2 linked regions of the Saccharomyces cerevisiae S288C genome follow. The main gene of each other region encodes a partner of the protein of the gene in region 2 in a complex. Each region holds a gene or a part of one and is shown on either strand. Other genes may lie near its edges. A codon is read from its position in the direction of its gene.

Region 1 (5,551 bases), on a different chromosome or scaffold from region 2:
TTGTCGGCTTGGTTTTTTCCGTTGTCATTTAACATCACTTTCACCATGGACTTGTTGACAACAATCAACTTCGCAACATAACCTTTTGCCAATAGTTTCTCTCTAAAATCCTGCCACGTTATCTCACTTTGCTCTTCCAAACTGTTGAGGAGATCCAATAAAAACGAAAGGAGGAAAAAAGTTAGTCCTATCTGGAATAAGTTAACATTTTTCGATACAGGATTACTAGGATCATTTAGAGGTGGTTTTGGGGGAGGAGGTGGTGGTGGCGGTGGAATATTTCTGCTATTGTTACCTTCAAAGTAGCCCTGCTCTTTTGTTCTGTTTGACTTGGCTTTTGAAGGACCATTTTCCTCCTCTTTTTCCTTTCTTTCTTCTTGAATTCTGTTAGATTCTTGTTTCAATACAGCATCTTCTAAACGCCTAATACTTTCATCAATTTTGCGTTTCTGTTCTTTCCAGTTAGCCGGTATAGTATTATTTTTAGTTTGTTCGATATATTTTTCTACTTGTTTTCTTATTGCTTCAACCTCTTCGTCTGTGGGAATTTCTTTGTTAAGTTTAGCGTCTTCGTTATTGTCCTCGTTCTTGTTACCGCTCTTATTCTCTTGCAGCCTATTGAGTAGCCGATATTGAGTATGTAAACTCTTGATATGGGTCAAGCCGTAATAGGACCGGAAGCGAACGGGCCTTCTAACTACCTTAGTAGCAATTCTTGACCAAGAAAGTAGCAACATTAGTACTCTTTCTAACTTTAAAGTTGCTTGCCAAGACTCTTGAGTGTGCTATATTGTATTCGTTGGCAGCTCAAAATCTTTCCTTTAAAACTATAGTGGCAAAAGTTAGAGATCGTTTTCACGAGAAAATGATGGGGAAAAATGGACCAAAAGACAAATGTATTCACAATGTGACACCAGATAGCTTGGTGATTAGTATATAGATCTTACAGGACACCGAATAATACCAGAAGGGACTTTCTTATTGAACGAACCGATATGTGCATGCGTTATCCTATAAAGAAATACGTCCGGATGGGATATTCAAACAAGACGCCGGACAAAATAATTCACACATATGGAGGATGTTACGTACATGAGCACAAGACGAACCGTACAAAGAGAAACATACATCATCACTCAGACGATAAGATCATAAATTAGCAGATGACACTTTAGTTTATTCTCTTTGGTAGGTTTTCTACAATCAGAATTATCTAACGGCGAACTTCTGTAGGCAGAGTTTTCGCATCGCCCAATGAGATAATGCACTTTCAAAAGACCACGCTGCACTTGCATCAAATTGGTTTACGAAAGAGCAAAGTCGAGGATTAGCACATTCCGTGTGCCCATACGTTACCATTTTTGACAAAGTTGGCAACATCAAGCGAGACATATCTACAAATATACGTATCAGAATTGTACCCGAAGTATTTCTGGTTATATTCGTTGCTAACCATTTTAACGTATTCAGCCTAGTAGCCTGCAAGAACTATTAATACAAATCGTGAAACAGAAGTTCTTTGAGTTAAAGTACAAAGACAGACAACAGCCCTCGGTGAACCTGTTGGTGTGTGTTTCCTGTATCACAAAACACAAGCGAGCAAAGAAATACGACGTTATAGCTTTTAATAATACGACGAGACAATGTTAGTGGCCGTAATAACTTTCCAACAAAAGTACTTTCCAAACTTTGCTGTTACCTCTGTGATTGTTTAGTACGAAAATTGTATCGCGCTGTCAACAGCAAGGGGCTGCAAGTATTACGTAAGGGTACACTCGAAGTAGGGATATATATTTAAAGTCCCATCGTGACGCTCATAATAGGATACTTTCCCTCCAAATAAAAATTCATTGAAGTTATATCATCGGTATTCATATATTATTGACTTAACAGCCATGTCTCCTATGAAAGTTGCGGTTGTCGGTGCCAGTGGTAAAGTTGGACGTTTATTGATAAACCAATTGAAGGCCAACGATAGTTTCTCAACACCATTAGCGATTGTTAGAACACAGGATCAAGTCAATTATTTCAAGAATGAAGTAGGTGTTGATGCTAGTTTGACAGATATAGAAAACGCGTCCGTTAGTGAGATCACAGACGCTATTAAGGCTTATGATGCCGTGGTCTTTAGCGCCGGTGCGGGTGGTAAAGGAATGGAAAGAATTTTCACGGTTGATCTGGATGGCTGTATCAAAGTTGTTGAAGCATGCGAAAAGGCTGGTATCAAAAGGTTCGTTGTTGTTTCAGCGCTCAAGGCGGAGGATAGAGATTTTTGGTATAACATTAAGGGTTTGCGTGAATACTATATTGCAAAGAGATCTGCTGATCGTGAGGTTAGAAACTCTAATTTGGATTACACTATTTTACAGCCTGGATCGTTGGAACTAAATAAAGGTACCGGTCTTTTGCAACCCCTTGACAAATTAGAAGAGAAGGCTTCTGTTAACTACTCCATTAACAGGGAGGATGTAGCTTCTTTTATTGTGGAAAGCTTGCTACATCCAAATGCAACAGTGAAAAAAACCATTTCGTTGGTAAATGGCAACGAGCCAATGGAAAAATTCATTCAAAGTTTGTAGATCAACCTATTTACGCGTGAAATGCATATGTAGATGAATAGTCAAGAAAAGAAAAAGAAAGTGAGAATATATGAATTTTTTTACCTTGATTTGAAGATAAAAATTTGTTATATTGTTACATTGAGTATACTAAATATATTCGTTGCATTTTTCGAAATTTTGTTGTTCGGTGATAGCCCTTAAAACGTCTTCATCAACAACGTCTTCATAGATCTCTTTCGGGATTTCCGACAGTCCCGTTTTCGGTTTATTCAAATCGTTATCGTGTATAACGGTCTCATACACAATGCTTGTGTCGCTGGGACTATCGTTTTTTGATCTCCTCCATCCTAAAACAGTGGTTGACTGTGTGGATTCTGGTATGTGTAATATATTTGTGTATGCATCTCTCAAGCCTTGTTGATCTACAAGAAGAACCTTCACTCTATCATAAAACAAATCGCTATTAAATCTACTACACGCAGCAGAATGCTGATAGAGCCAATTTGTAGAGCTCAGCTTACTACCTGATGCAATAATATTAGAATTACTCATGTGACCATGTGGCCTGTGTTCAAAGAATTCCACCTGGTTTTTTGCAGGGTTTATGCCATTCTCGGAAGCAGGATACATCATGGTTTCTAAGGCCCTTGCGGATTTATCAATAGGATCACCAGCAAGTTTTCCTTCAATTACATTTCCCTTTGTTCTTAATTCAGAAGCATAATAATCATCGGTTATATGTTTGCCGCCACGAATGATTTTAGCACCAAATTCTTTAAACACGCCTCTAGCGGTGACTAGAGCGATTTGTCTATTTCTATATGAATAAGGTAAAACGCCACGGTCTATCAAGTCGTTCTTTTGAGTTTGATTCAGAATGAACTTATAAAGGTTGGGGTGAGTTTGAAAAAATAAATATGAATCTCTAAAACCCACTATCCTAGCCGGTTCGGTGGCCAGCATAAACTTTCGATTCCCCTTCTCAGTTAATGTGAAGGTGCGCACTAAAAATTCTCTGCCTCCTAATAGATCACCATCTGCAGTTATCTTCGTCTCACCTTCAGGATCATCTGGTAGAACATATTCTTCATTGACCACTTTCAAAGGATTTAAGTTCTCCTCAGCATCATCGATTCCGGGAAATACTGGTTTTTTGAACTTTGAACGGTTTCTAGATCTAGTAACGCCTTTATCCTCTGACAAATCCTCTTCTTCGTCCACGTGCCTCCTTTTGTTTCTTCCGCTTTTATTTATCTGTTCCTCCTCATCACTTATTTCTTCTTCATTCACTCCCTCATTGGCTTCTTCTTCTCTGTAATCATCATCTTCATTCTCATCATTTTCATCAATATCTAAATCCTCAGTATCAATTGCATAATTGGGTCTGTTGCTAGTAGATCTTGACCGCTTCTCATGTTCAACTTCGGAAGCTAGACCTCCCTCTGAATCTGACATTTCTGCTAGATGGTATTTCCTTCTTCAAAAGTAAATGTACTGTATTCAGTAATGCTTAAACTTTATAAAGCTGTTTTCTTGCAATATTTTTGTCTGCTCACAGTAACATGTTTAATAGTTCGAACGGGTTTTTTTTTAAAAGAGCGAAGTAATCAAAGCATTCGGGTAATAATTACAAGTTTATATGGACTGTGGTAAAAACAGTGTAAAACTTTTTTATATCTATTTTTCTAAGGTTACGTAATTGTTTACTTTATATTCTTATCTCACTCGAGGACAACATTCCACCTTTTAATGCAAGCGTCCGCACCAGAACTAACCAAGGTAGATGGTGTTTCCCATAAAAGGTTGTTAACACCGTCCTTGTGAGCATTCAACGCCTTAATGATTTTCATAGGTCTTTTGACGGAGTAAATAAAAATATTGGTGTCTAAAGAACCAGTGGCAACTAAGTCCTCTTCAATTTCCTCTTCGTTTGCTCCCTTTTCAGCAGGTTTCCATGAAATGGCGTTGATTTTACTGGTGTGGAAAGCCCATCTTGAAGTTTTCACTTCTCTTGATTGTAAATCATATAGCAATATCTTGCCCATAACATCTCCAGCAGCGATGTATGTTTCAGATGGCGAAATTGATATGTACGAGGGTTTTGCGCGAAGAGGTGTTTTTAAATCAAAACTGACTTCCAAATCTGATAATTTGAATACCTGAATAGTATTACCTTCTTCCAAACCAACTGCAACGTAATTTTGGCTCAAGCTAACGGCAGAGCCTGGTGAGTTCAGTCTTACACTCTTGATTATATCGCCCGTAAAAGACTGTAATATCAACAAATCATCATCATTTGTTAGTACTGCAGTGAAGCCATCATTGTTCGCACTAGCAACCTTTGGTTGCGATCCAAATTCATGCTTAGTAATACCGTTCACTTTCAAAGTATCATCCCAAGAAATACTGGAGTATTCTTGCGCTTTACTATTATCCAATGATACAATCAAGTTGGAGTGATCTTGGTGCATGGAAGAGCTAGACCATTCCATAATCCTACCATCATATGACCCACTGATTAGTGGGTTGACTGTCAAAGCAGTAATACCCTTGTTATGACCACTAATGGTTTTTAAAACCTCGTCATGTCCAAGTTCATAGAAGTTTAAGGTCCCATCCAGTGAAAGAGAAATAATCCTTCCGTTTCCTGTTGCAACAACACCAACTTGTTGATTTCCCAGTTGTTGCTTGTCTAAGGTCCATTTTTGAACGCATTTTGAAGTCGTGACGTCCCAAACCCTAATGGTAGCGTCTGCTCCTACGGTAGCAAACTTTTGGGAATCAAGCCACGATAGTGCAAATATACCACCTTGAACTGGTTCTTGATCATCCTCTATGTATTTAAGAAACTCACCTGATTTGCCATCAAAGCAAGAAATCTTTCTGTCAGACCCTACCGTAATAACAAATTCACCGCTGTCAGGTGAAAATTCAACATCCCTGACAAATGAGCCTTGTTTGTGGTGTGTTCTGTCACTGGCAGAGAACTT
Region 2 (8,213 bases):
CTCTCTGATCGATGACCTGAACGAGCAGAAACTCAAGCAGCAGCTGAATATCGAGAAGACAAAATACTTCCAAGGAAAAAATGGCGGATCGCTGCACTCCAATACAGACTTTCAGGACACATCGCAGAATATCGAAGACAACAATAACGATAACGATAACGATATCGATGAAGATGACGACATGTCATCTTACAACGACAAAGCAGCCTCGGTAGCGCACACCAGAGTCCTCAATTCCTTGCATCTGTCCACCGACAGCAATACCGCCCACGAGACGTCCAATGCAAACGACAACCACAACCCCTTCTACATCCGCGAGGAATAATAGCATATCCGCATACGCACACGCACACGCACACGCGCACGCATCCACATTCACTTTCACTTATAAAATTTCTTCTCTCTAGTTTTATATACGTTGTATTAGAAATATAAAATATGACAATAGTACACTTTGTAGGCTCTCTTTTTTTTTTTTTTTTTTTTTCTTATATATTTTTTTACAATGACCACGGTTTGTACACCTGGGGCTGCAATTTTGCAATGGAGTCGCCTTCGCCTACTTCCTCGCCTTCCTTGCCTACACGTTTCACGCCATGTCCTGTGGCCGTATTGCCGTCTTCGTCATCGCCCTCCTGGTCCTTCTCCACTAGTTGTATGCCCGAGTCTACTTGCTCCGAGATCAGTACCAGTTTCTTCGACACATTCAACTCCTCCAGCGACTTGTTCAGGTCAAGAATCTGTTTACTCAGTGATAATCGGTCGTTCAGCATCTTTTCAGATTCCTTCACATATTTCAGTTTTTCCATCTCCAGTTGCGTTTCTAGATCGCACAGCTTTGTAAACTTGCTCTCTAATTTCTCCATGGTCAGCTTGACTAACTCTTGGATTATCGCTTGGCTTTCTTCAATGTACTTTTCGGAGATCTCTCTCGACTTATCAGAGACCTTACCCAATTTGTCGTCGCCTTGCAGTAGCGTCTGGACAGCATCATTCACGCATTCCATCAACTTCGAACCGGACACACTACCATCGCGGCTGTCGCCACCCTTACCATTCAGCGTTGAACCAACAACTTCTCGGATGTAGTTGTCCTCGATCGGTAAGCTTAGGAATTTTTCAATGCAGTCTTCTACACGCTTGTGCCCACCCACGTGGTCAGCAATCTTCTCCCACTGGTCTTCATACATTTCAATACCCTCCAGCAATAGTAGCATCTCCTGGTCTGACCAGTTTTTTTTAACCGAGTTTCCGTTGTTTTCTAATCTGATGAAATCTGAAGATTGAAAGTTGGCACCGAAATGACCCTCTTGGAAACAACGGGAGCACAGGTTGGTGTCCCGTGCACGCAAATTGTGGTAGCGCACATTGATTGACTCGTTACCGCATGTATGGCAAATGTAAACTTTGTGAATCTGCCTGGAGTTTCTACTTTCGTCTTGTAATGCATTGAAGTCTTGTGCAGAATCGTAAACGTTCTTCTTGATTGTGAGATTAACGGGAAATTCCTTCTTGACTTGTGGTTCCGCTCCATCTCCTCCTTCCACTTCTTGCTTGATCACATTCTCTGGTAAAAATGGCTTTAACCCCTGCGGAGTGTCCAGAACCACTTGGAAGTGGCCCGTAAAACTTGGCCCAATAAGACTGGGCTTGGTCCTGGGGTCAATCTGATAATTGATTAAGCCCCATTTTTCCAAGAACGCGTGAATCTTCACTATCGAGGCAACATCCATGGCAACATTTCTTCTCACAGCGGTAATGGTCAAATATTCGTACGGCGAAAGACGGTACGTGTTGATGATAAAATTTCTTGTGTCCTTATATGCCTTTGGTGTCTTGAACCTTGATGAATCGTTGAAAAAGTCGGGATTGGATCTTTTTTCGATCTCGTGGATCTTCGAAATATCAAACCAAGAGGCAAACGACGGAATAATCACCGGGTGAGTTTGCTTTGCCAGGAACCTAAGGGCCTTCTCCTCCAGTTTCTGTGCTTCTTGCTCGTAATTGATTTTCTTATGAGCTACTTCTGCTCCCAATGTGGCAGATTCCTCCTTCGCCTGTTCCTGTGCTAAGTGAGGGAAAGATGGCGTGTTGGTGCTTGTGGTGGGTGGCTCCTCGGTCGCTTCGTGCGAGTCTACCATAGGGACATCCTTATCCTTTTCAGTGTCGCTCATTATCCTGGCCTTCTATCTACTCTTTGCTTCTCTGCTCTACCCTTCTCTCTATAAACCTCACGAACTAATTCAATGTTGATGAAACTTATTTTTTCCAACTTTTTTACATCAAGCGGGTGACAAAGAGAACGCCGTAATTAAATTATCATAGAAAAGAGTAACGGATTAAGGAAGTATCAAATTTGGCGATGAGATGAGCAGATGCTCAAACGCGGCGCTGATGACTGTTGTTGAGGATGCTGTTGGGGCCAGGGTGGCTGCAAGGACGAGAAACATGAGCAATGGCGTCAATTACCGGGAGAAGGAAGTCAATGACCTAACGGCTGACATTTCAGATTCAGATTCAGATTTGGATTCAGAGGACAATAAACATGGCAAAGGCGACAATGACACTGCCCCCATATGGTTACAAGATGATGTGCATTCAGACGAAGATATTCAGCTGGACTCAGAGGACGATTCCGATACAGAAGCTGTTCAAGCCCAAGTGGTGGATAAATTGGCAAAAGACACGAAATCAGAGCAAAAATCCTTGGATGATGAGCTCTCCGAGATGGATACCAAGACGGTTTCTTTAAAACTTAAGAAACTAAACGAGTTTGTGAGGCAGAGTCAGGTATATTCCAGTATAATCGCCGATACTTTACTACATCGATCTAATGAAGTGGCTAACGCTAATACAAAAGATAACAGCAACTCTGATGATGAAGAACATTCTTCAAAAAAACGTAAAACAAAAAAAAAATCAATAACAGATTTCTTCAAAAAACAGAAAAAGAACGAAGATACAACCACCCAAAACGGCGCACCAGACGATGCAGCAATAAAGCAACCTCGCCTATTGAAAAACTGTATTTTAAAACCTTACCAACTAGAAGGTCTTAACTGGCTGATCACTCTTTATGAAAATGGCCTGAACGGAATTCTTGCCGATGAAATGGGTCTTGGTAAGACTGTTCAAAGTATTGCTCTTTTGGCGTTCATATATGAAATGGACACAAAGGGTCCTTTTCTAGTGACTGCACCATTAAGCACCCTAGATAATTGGATGAACGAATTTGCAAAATTCGCTCCTGATCTACCAGTTCTAAAATATTATGGGACCAATGGTTATAAGGAACGTTCTGCCAAGTTGAAAAATTTCTTTAAACAACACGGCGGCACGGGGATCGTCATCACATCATATGAAATTATTTTAAGAGATACCGACTTAATCATGAGTCAAAATTGGAAATTTTTAATTGTTGATGAAGGCCACCGTCTGAAAAATATAAACTGTAGATTGATTAAAGAGTTAAAAAAAATCAATACTTCCAATAGACTGCTACTAACAGGGACGCCTTTACAAAATAACCTAGCTGAATTATGGTCACTTTTGAATTTCATAATGCCCGATATCTTTGCCGATTTCGAGATATTCAATAAATGGTTTGACTTCGACAGCTTAAATTTAGGCTCCGGTTCCAACTCTGAAGCATTGAATAAGTTAATCAACGATGAACTACAGAAAAATTTGATTTCCAATTTACACACAATTCTGAAACCATTCCTTTTGAGAAGATTGAAAAAAGTTGTTTTGGCTAATATTCTGCCGCCAAAGAGAGAATATATCATAAATTGTCCGATGACGTCTGCACAGGAAAAATTCTATAAGGCTGGATTGAATGGAAAGTTGAAAAAAACCATGTTCAAAGAATTAATCAAGGATTTTTTCACATTGAACGATGAATACATCGGCCACGTTTCTAATCGGTCCATACGAGATTTCATCAATTATAAACTATCTGGTAATGAAACTTCAAATACAGACAATAAAATCAATCCAACCTTGTTGCAAATGGACAAACTATATAAGAAGAACCTGCAAATGGAAATTTCAAATAAGAAATTGCAAAATATGATGATGCAATTGAGACAAATCATTGACTCAACTTTTTTGTTTTATTTCCCATATTTACACCCAGAAGACTTGACTTTGGAAACTCTTTTAAAGACGTCTGGGAAATTACAAATCTTACAAAAATTAATCCCCCCATTAATATCTGAGGGGCACAAAGTGCTTATTTATTCTCAGTTTGTTAACATGCTCGATTTGATCGAAGATTGGTGTGATTTAAATTCGTTCGCGACATTTCGAATTGATGGTTCAGTAAACAATGAAACAAGAAAGGATCAACTCGAGAAGTTTAATAGCTCGAAAGATAAGCATAACATTTTCCTATTGTCCACAAGGGCGGCAGGACTGGGTATTAATCTAGTCGGGGCAGATACAGTTGTCTTGTTTGATAGTGATTGGAATCCACAGGTGGATTTACAAGCCATGGACAGGTGTCACCGTATTGGCCAAGAATCACCGGTTATAGTATATAGGTTGTGTTGTGATAACACCATTGAACATGTTATATTGACCAGAGCGGCCAATAAGCGAAATTTGGAAAGAATGGTTATCCAGATGGGAAAATTCAATAACCTGAAAAAATTGGCGTTAAATGAAGGTTCTTTTTTGAAGGCAAACAAAGCGGGTGTTAATGTCACTAATAAGGACTTAGTCCAGGAGTTATCTATGCTTTTAATGAGCGATGAATCCAATATAGGCTTTGAAAATGGGGGACAGAAAGAAAATAAGGCTACTGAGGGCCAACTGACTGATAAGGAGGTTGAAGAATTGACCAACAGATCTCTTGAAGCGTACAAGGCCAACAGAGTCGTAGATCTGCCGCACGTCAAGCTATTTGAAACAACCTCCGGTCTTTAACTTGGTTATCATACAATATTGTTTTTATTAAATGTTTGTATATATGTACATATACATACCTATATATTGATCAATGTTCTTGCCGTACAAATTCTTCCTCTAGTTGTTCCTTTAGTTCACGGTTTTTGAATAAAGTATCCGCAGTATTCATTCGTTGCAGAAAGGTATCTTGAATATTATTTTTTGTGTTCTGGAAATCAGCTTTTAGTTTAGTAATCCATTCCAGTATCAAAGTCATATCCAGATCATGTTTTACCAGACGGTTCCTCTCAGAAATAACTTTCTTTTTCAATTCCATGAAACGGAGCCAGTTGGAATGATTCTCTTCTATATAGGCAGGATCGTATTGATCTTCCAAATGGAGACCTCTGACGTCCATATATGCCATTCTTTGCGACCATTGACTTATCATTACATCGCCCCACTCTTCGTACACTTCGACGTTTTCAAGACGAATCGATTCTGCCAGTTTAGCCATTTCGGTAAGAAAAGAATCTAATGAATGAAACAGTGATTTTTCAAAGTCTAACAAATGTATTTTATAATTCTTCAGTATCGATGTGATAGATGATTTGGTAATGTAAGCTTCCAGTTCAACTTGACCCGATTCATCAAAATACTTTATTTTATTTTGCACAGGATCGAATTTAGAGGTACAATTAATATCTTTGATTTTTGAATCTAGAAACACTAATTGCTCATTAACGGTAGTGTTAAGGTCATCAAGATTCCTAGTGATTTCTATAGATTTATTTTGCACCTCGGCCTCGAACACAGACTGTATCTCTGAATCCAAAAGTGCCATCGCACTGTGTATTTTCGAATCTATAGCCTTAATCCATGCTTCATATTCCATTTTTAATGATTCTGCCTCGTAAGTTTCCAATTCTGCATGGCTATTGGAACCAATGATAATCTTTGACAAATCCTGCAAAATAGCAGCAGTGACGAGTTGTGAGTTCCCGTGGCCATCCTGTACTCCATCGAACTCGTATTCTTTATTTTCATCCTCAATTCCGACATCATCCTCATCCTCATCTTCATCCTCATCCTCATTTTCATTCTCATCATCCTCATAATCCTCTGTTTCCGAGTCTGTCTCAAAAATGGGTTTGGTGAGCGTGCCATCAGCGCTAAAGGAGCCGTATTTCATCCAATCCGTAGAGGAGTTAAATGGATTCTCTAGTACATTCTTCACATTGTCTGTATATGGCTTTAAATAGTACCAGGCAATCCTTAGATGATTTAATAAAGGTCCCAACTTGGAATGTAGCGAACAGCAGAGCTCATTTAGCCTTAGAAAAGAGAAAATATTGTACCAAAAGCGGTAAAAATATCCCATAATTCTCTTCAAGGATGAGTTGGGGTATCTTTCAATCAGTGGTTTTATCGATTGTGAGTACTTTCCAACTAAATAGTCAGAAACCGCTGAACCTTCAACCAATTTAGAATCGAATAGTGAGCCAACTGAAAATTCAGTATGCCGGCAAATGGGCTGTAAATCTGTGGCAAAGCTTCCCAGACCATTTTGCTGACAGACCAGATACCTTGCAATAAACACGCAAGCCAGCAAAGCAGTCGTTACTTTGAAAACGGCCTTCATGATTTTTAGTAAAGAACTAACCACCTTTTTCTTAGTTAAGAAAAGGTCAATCAGTAACAGAAATATGATAGTAGCAACACCCAAAAAAATGCTATCTTCCAATAGTCAAAAAGGAAGCCTCGATGCCATACAAGTCTCTTCTAAAGTACTATTATGTAATTCCTGTTAAATGATACCTGTATTGTGGCTTAAAAGGGCCGAAATGACAACAAAATGAGTAGGGTTAATTTAATTTTTAAAGAGGGCATTTATCTAAAAAATGAAAGACAACTATAGGGCTGGTAATTATAGAATAGGTCTTAGTAGGGTTATCCCTTCCTCTAGAAAAAAAGAAAGAAAAATAATTTTAAGTGGCCAATTAGAACCAAAACCAACAGTATCGTGGTATCATACGCTCCAAAGCAACTAGAAGAAAGGCCTTATTTGACCATTGGATTCAGTATTTTTTCTCCAAGTAGCGGTTAAAAGACTGAGAGACTAAAGCTAGATAGTGGGTTTGAGTGACTATCCCCTTTTTTCCTCCTCTTTTTTTATTATTTTGATTTTATTTCATTTTGATTTTATTTCAACACGATTAAGACACAAGCGTTACTTCCCTAGACTATAGTCTCTGCCGTTCCCATTCTATTGATTTTTGGAGCAGCAGTTTTTACAAAAGAAAAGAAAAAAAAGACGAAAACAACAAGCCAGAGTAAAGATGTCGTTTTGGCCATTTGGACAGAATCTTAATCACTCTAATATTAATAAGATCCTAGATGAATATTTTCATGTGCTACACGAACTGGAAAGGATTAACCCAAGCGTTGGTAAAGCCATTCCCGCTATTTTCAACAACGTTCAGGAACGAGGTACAAGTGACTCCCTAGATTCTATTCCGGAGGAGTATAGTCATGGTGATGAAGTGAAAACGGCACGTGGAGATCAGAAGAGTCGATTTGAGAAGGATGATCAGCAAGAACGGTATGAGAAAGAGGAAGAGGAACGGAGCATGAACTCTAGCGAATCTTCCACTACATCTTTTTCTTCTGGGTCAACTTCTAAAACTGATTTAGATGAGGAGGATATCAGCAATGCTACTGCTCCCATGATGGTCACCACAAAGAATTTGGATAACTCTTTTATTGAAAGAATGCTTGTAGAGACAGAGCTACTGAACGAATTATCGAGACAAAACAAGACGCTACTTGACTTCATTTGCTTTGGATTTTTCTTTGATAAGAAAACTAATAAGAAAGTGAATAATATGGAATATCTGGTCGACCAACTGATGGAATGTATCTCGAAGATTAAAACCGCCACCACAGTGGATTTGAATAACCTGATAGATTATCAAGAACAGCAACAGCTTGATGATAGCTCACAAGAGGACGTTTATGTGGAATCTGATACGGAGCAAGAAGAGGAGAAAGAGGACGATAATAACAGCAATAACAAGAAGAGACGAAAACGCGGAAGCTCCTCGTTTGGTAACGATGATATCAACAACAATGACGACGACGACGATGCGAATGAGGACGATGAATCTGCTTATTTGACAAAGGCCACCATAATATCTGAAATCTTTTCCTTAGACATATGGTTGATTAGCGAGTCATTAGTTAAAAACCAATCATACTTAAACAAGATTTGGTCTATCATCAACCAGCCAAATTTCAATTCTGAAAACTCTCCCTTGGTACCC

Evidence for each region. The genes of interacting proteins can lie anywhere in the genome.
Region 1: the proteins of RSC8 (region 2) and NPL6 are in contact, whole or in part, in a cryo-EM structure (PDB 6V8O), measured with the Saccharomyces cerevisiae proteins. Residues at the interface, in NP_116695.3 of Saccharomyces cerevisiae: Ala69 (codon at 1,970), Arg71 (codon at 1,964), Phe72 (codon at 1,961), Leu73 (codon at 1,958), Ser92 (codon at 1,901), Phe124 (codon at 1,805), Thr128 (codon at 1,793), Leu131 (codon at 1,784), Ser132 (codon at 1,781), Leu137 (codon at 1,766), Ala141 (codon at 1,754), Arg144 (codon at 1,745), Asn145 (codon at 1,742), Pro181 (codon at 1,634), Ser182 (codon at 1,631), Phe183 (codon at 1,628), Thr184 (codon at 1,625), Gly185 (codon at 1,622), His186 (codon at 1,619), Phe187 (codon at 1,616), Gln188 (codon at 1,613), Val189 (codon at 1,610), Val190 (codon at 1,607), Leu191 (codon at 1,604), Asp192 (codon at 1,601), Thr193 (codon at 1,598), Pro194 (codon at 1,595), Gln195 (codon at 1,592), Gly196 (codon at 1,589), Leu197 (codon at 1,586); in NP_013809.1 of Saccharomyces cerevisiae: Leu343 (codon at 2,990), Gln347 (codon at 2,978), Asp351 (codon at 2,966), Tyr353 (codon at 2,960), Thr354 (codon at 2,957), Ile356 (codon at 2,951), His358 (codon at 2,945), Ile359 (codon at 2,942), Ser362 (codon at 2,933), Thr363 (codon at 2,930), Gln364 (codon at 2,927), Ser365 (codon at 2,924), Thr366 (codon at 2,921), Thr367 (codon at 2,918), Val368 (codon at 2,915), Leu369 (codon at 2,912), Gly370 (codon at 2,909), Trp371 (codon at 2,906), Arg372 (codon at 2,903), Arg373 (codon at 2,900), Ser374 (codon at 2,897), Lys375 (codon at 2,894), Asn376 (codon at 2,891), Thr382 (codon at 2,873), Ser383 (codon at 2,870), Ile384 (codon at 2,867), Val385 (codon at 2,864), Tyr386 (codon at 2,861), Glu387 (codon at 2,858), Thr388 (codon at 2,855).

The regions. Positions count from the first base shown.
Region 1 is NC_001145.3:447,350-452,900, forward strand, and holds NPL6 (Npl6p), read right to left. Parts: upstream 4,017-5,551; coding exon 2,709-4,016; downstream 1-2,708. Other genes in the region: m-AAA protease subunit YTA12, read right to left, coding at 1-737; YMR090W (uncharacterized protein), read left to right, coding at 1,896-2,579; AIP1 (Aip1p), read right to left, coding at 4,283-5,551. UniProt on the Saccharomyces cerevisiae protein: Component of the chromatin structure remodeling complex (RSC), which is involved in transcription regulation and nucleosome positioning. RSC is responsible for the transfer of a histone octamer from a nucleosome core particle to naked DNA.
Region 2 is NC_001138.5:227,013-235,225, forward strand, and holds RSC8 (Rsc8p), read right to left. Parts: upstream 2,175-8,213; coding exon 501-2,174; downstream 1-500. Other genes in the region: anaphase promoting complex subunit CDC26, read left to right, coding at 1-325; IRC5 (putative ATPase), read left to right, coding at 2,368-4,929; OSW7 (Osw7p), read right to left, coding at 5,000-6,532; SAP155 (Sap155p), read left to right, coding at 7,230-8,213.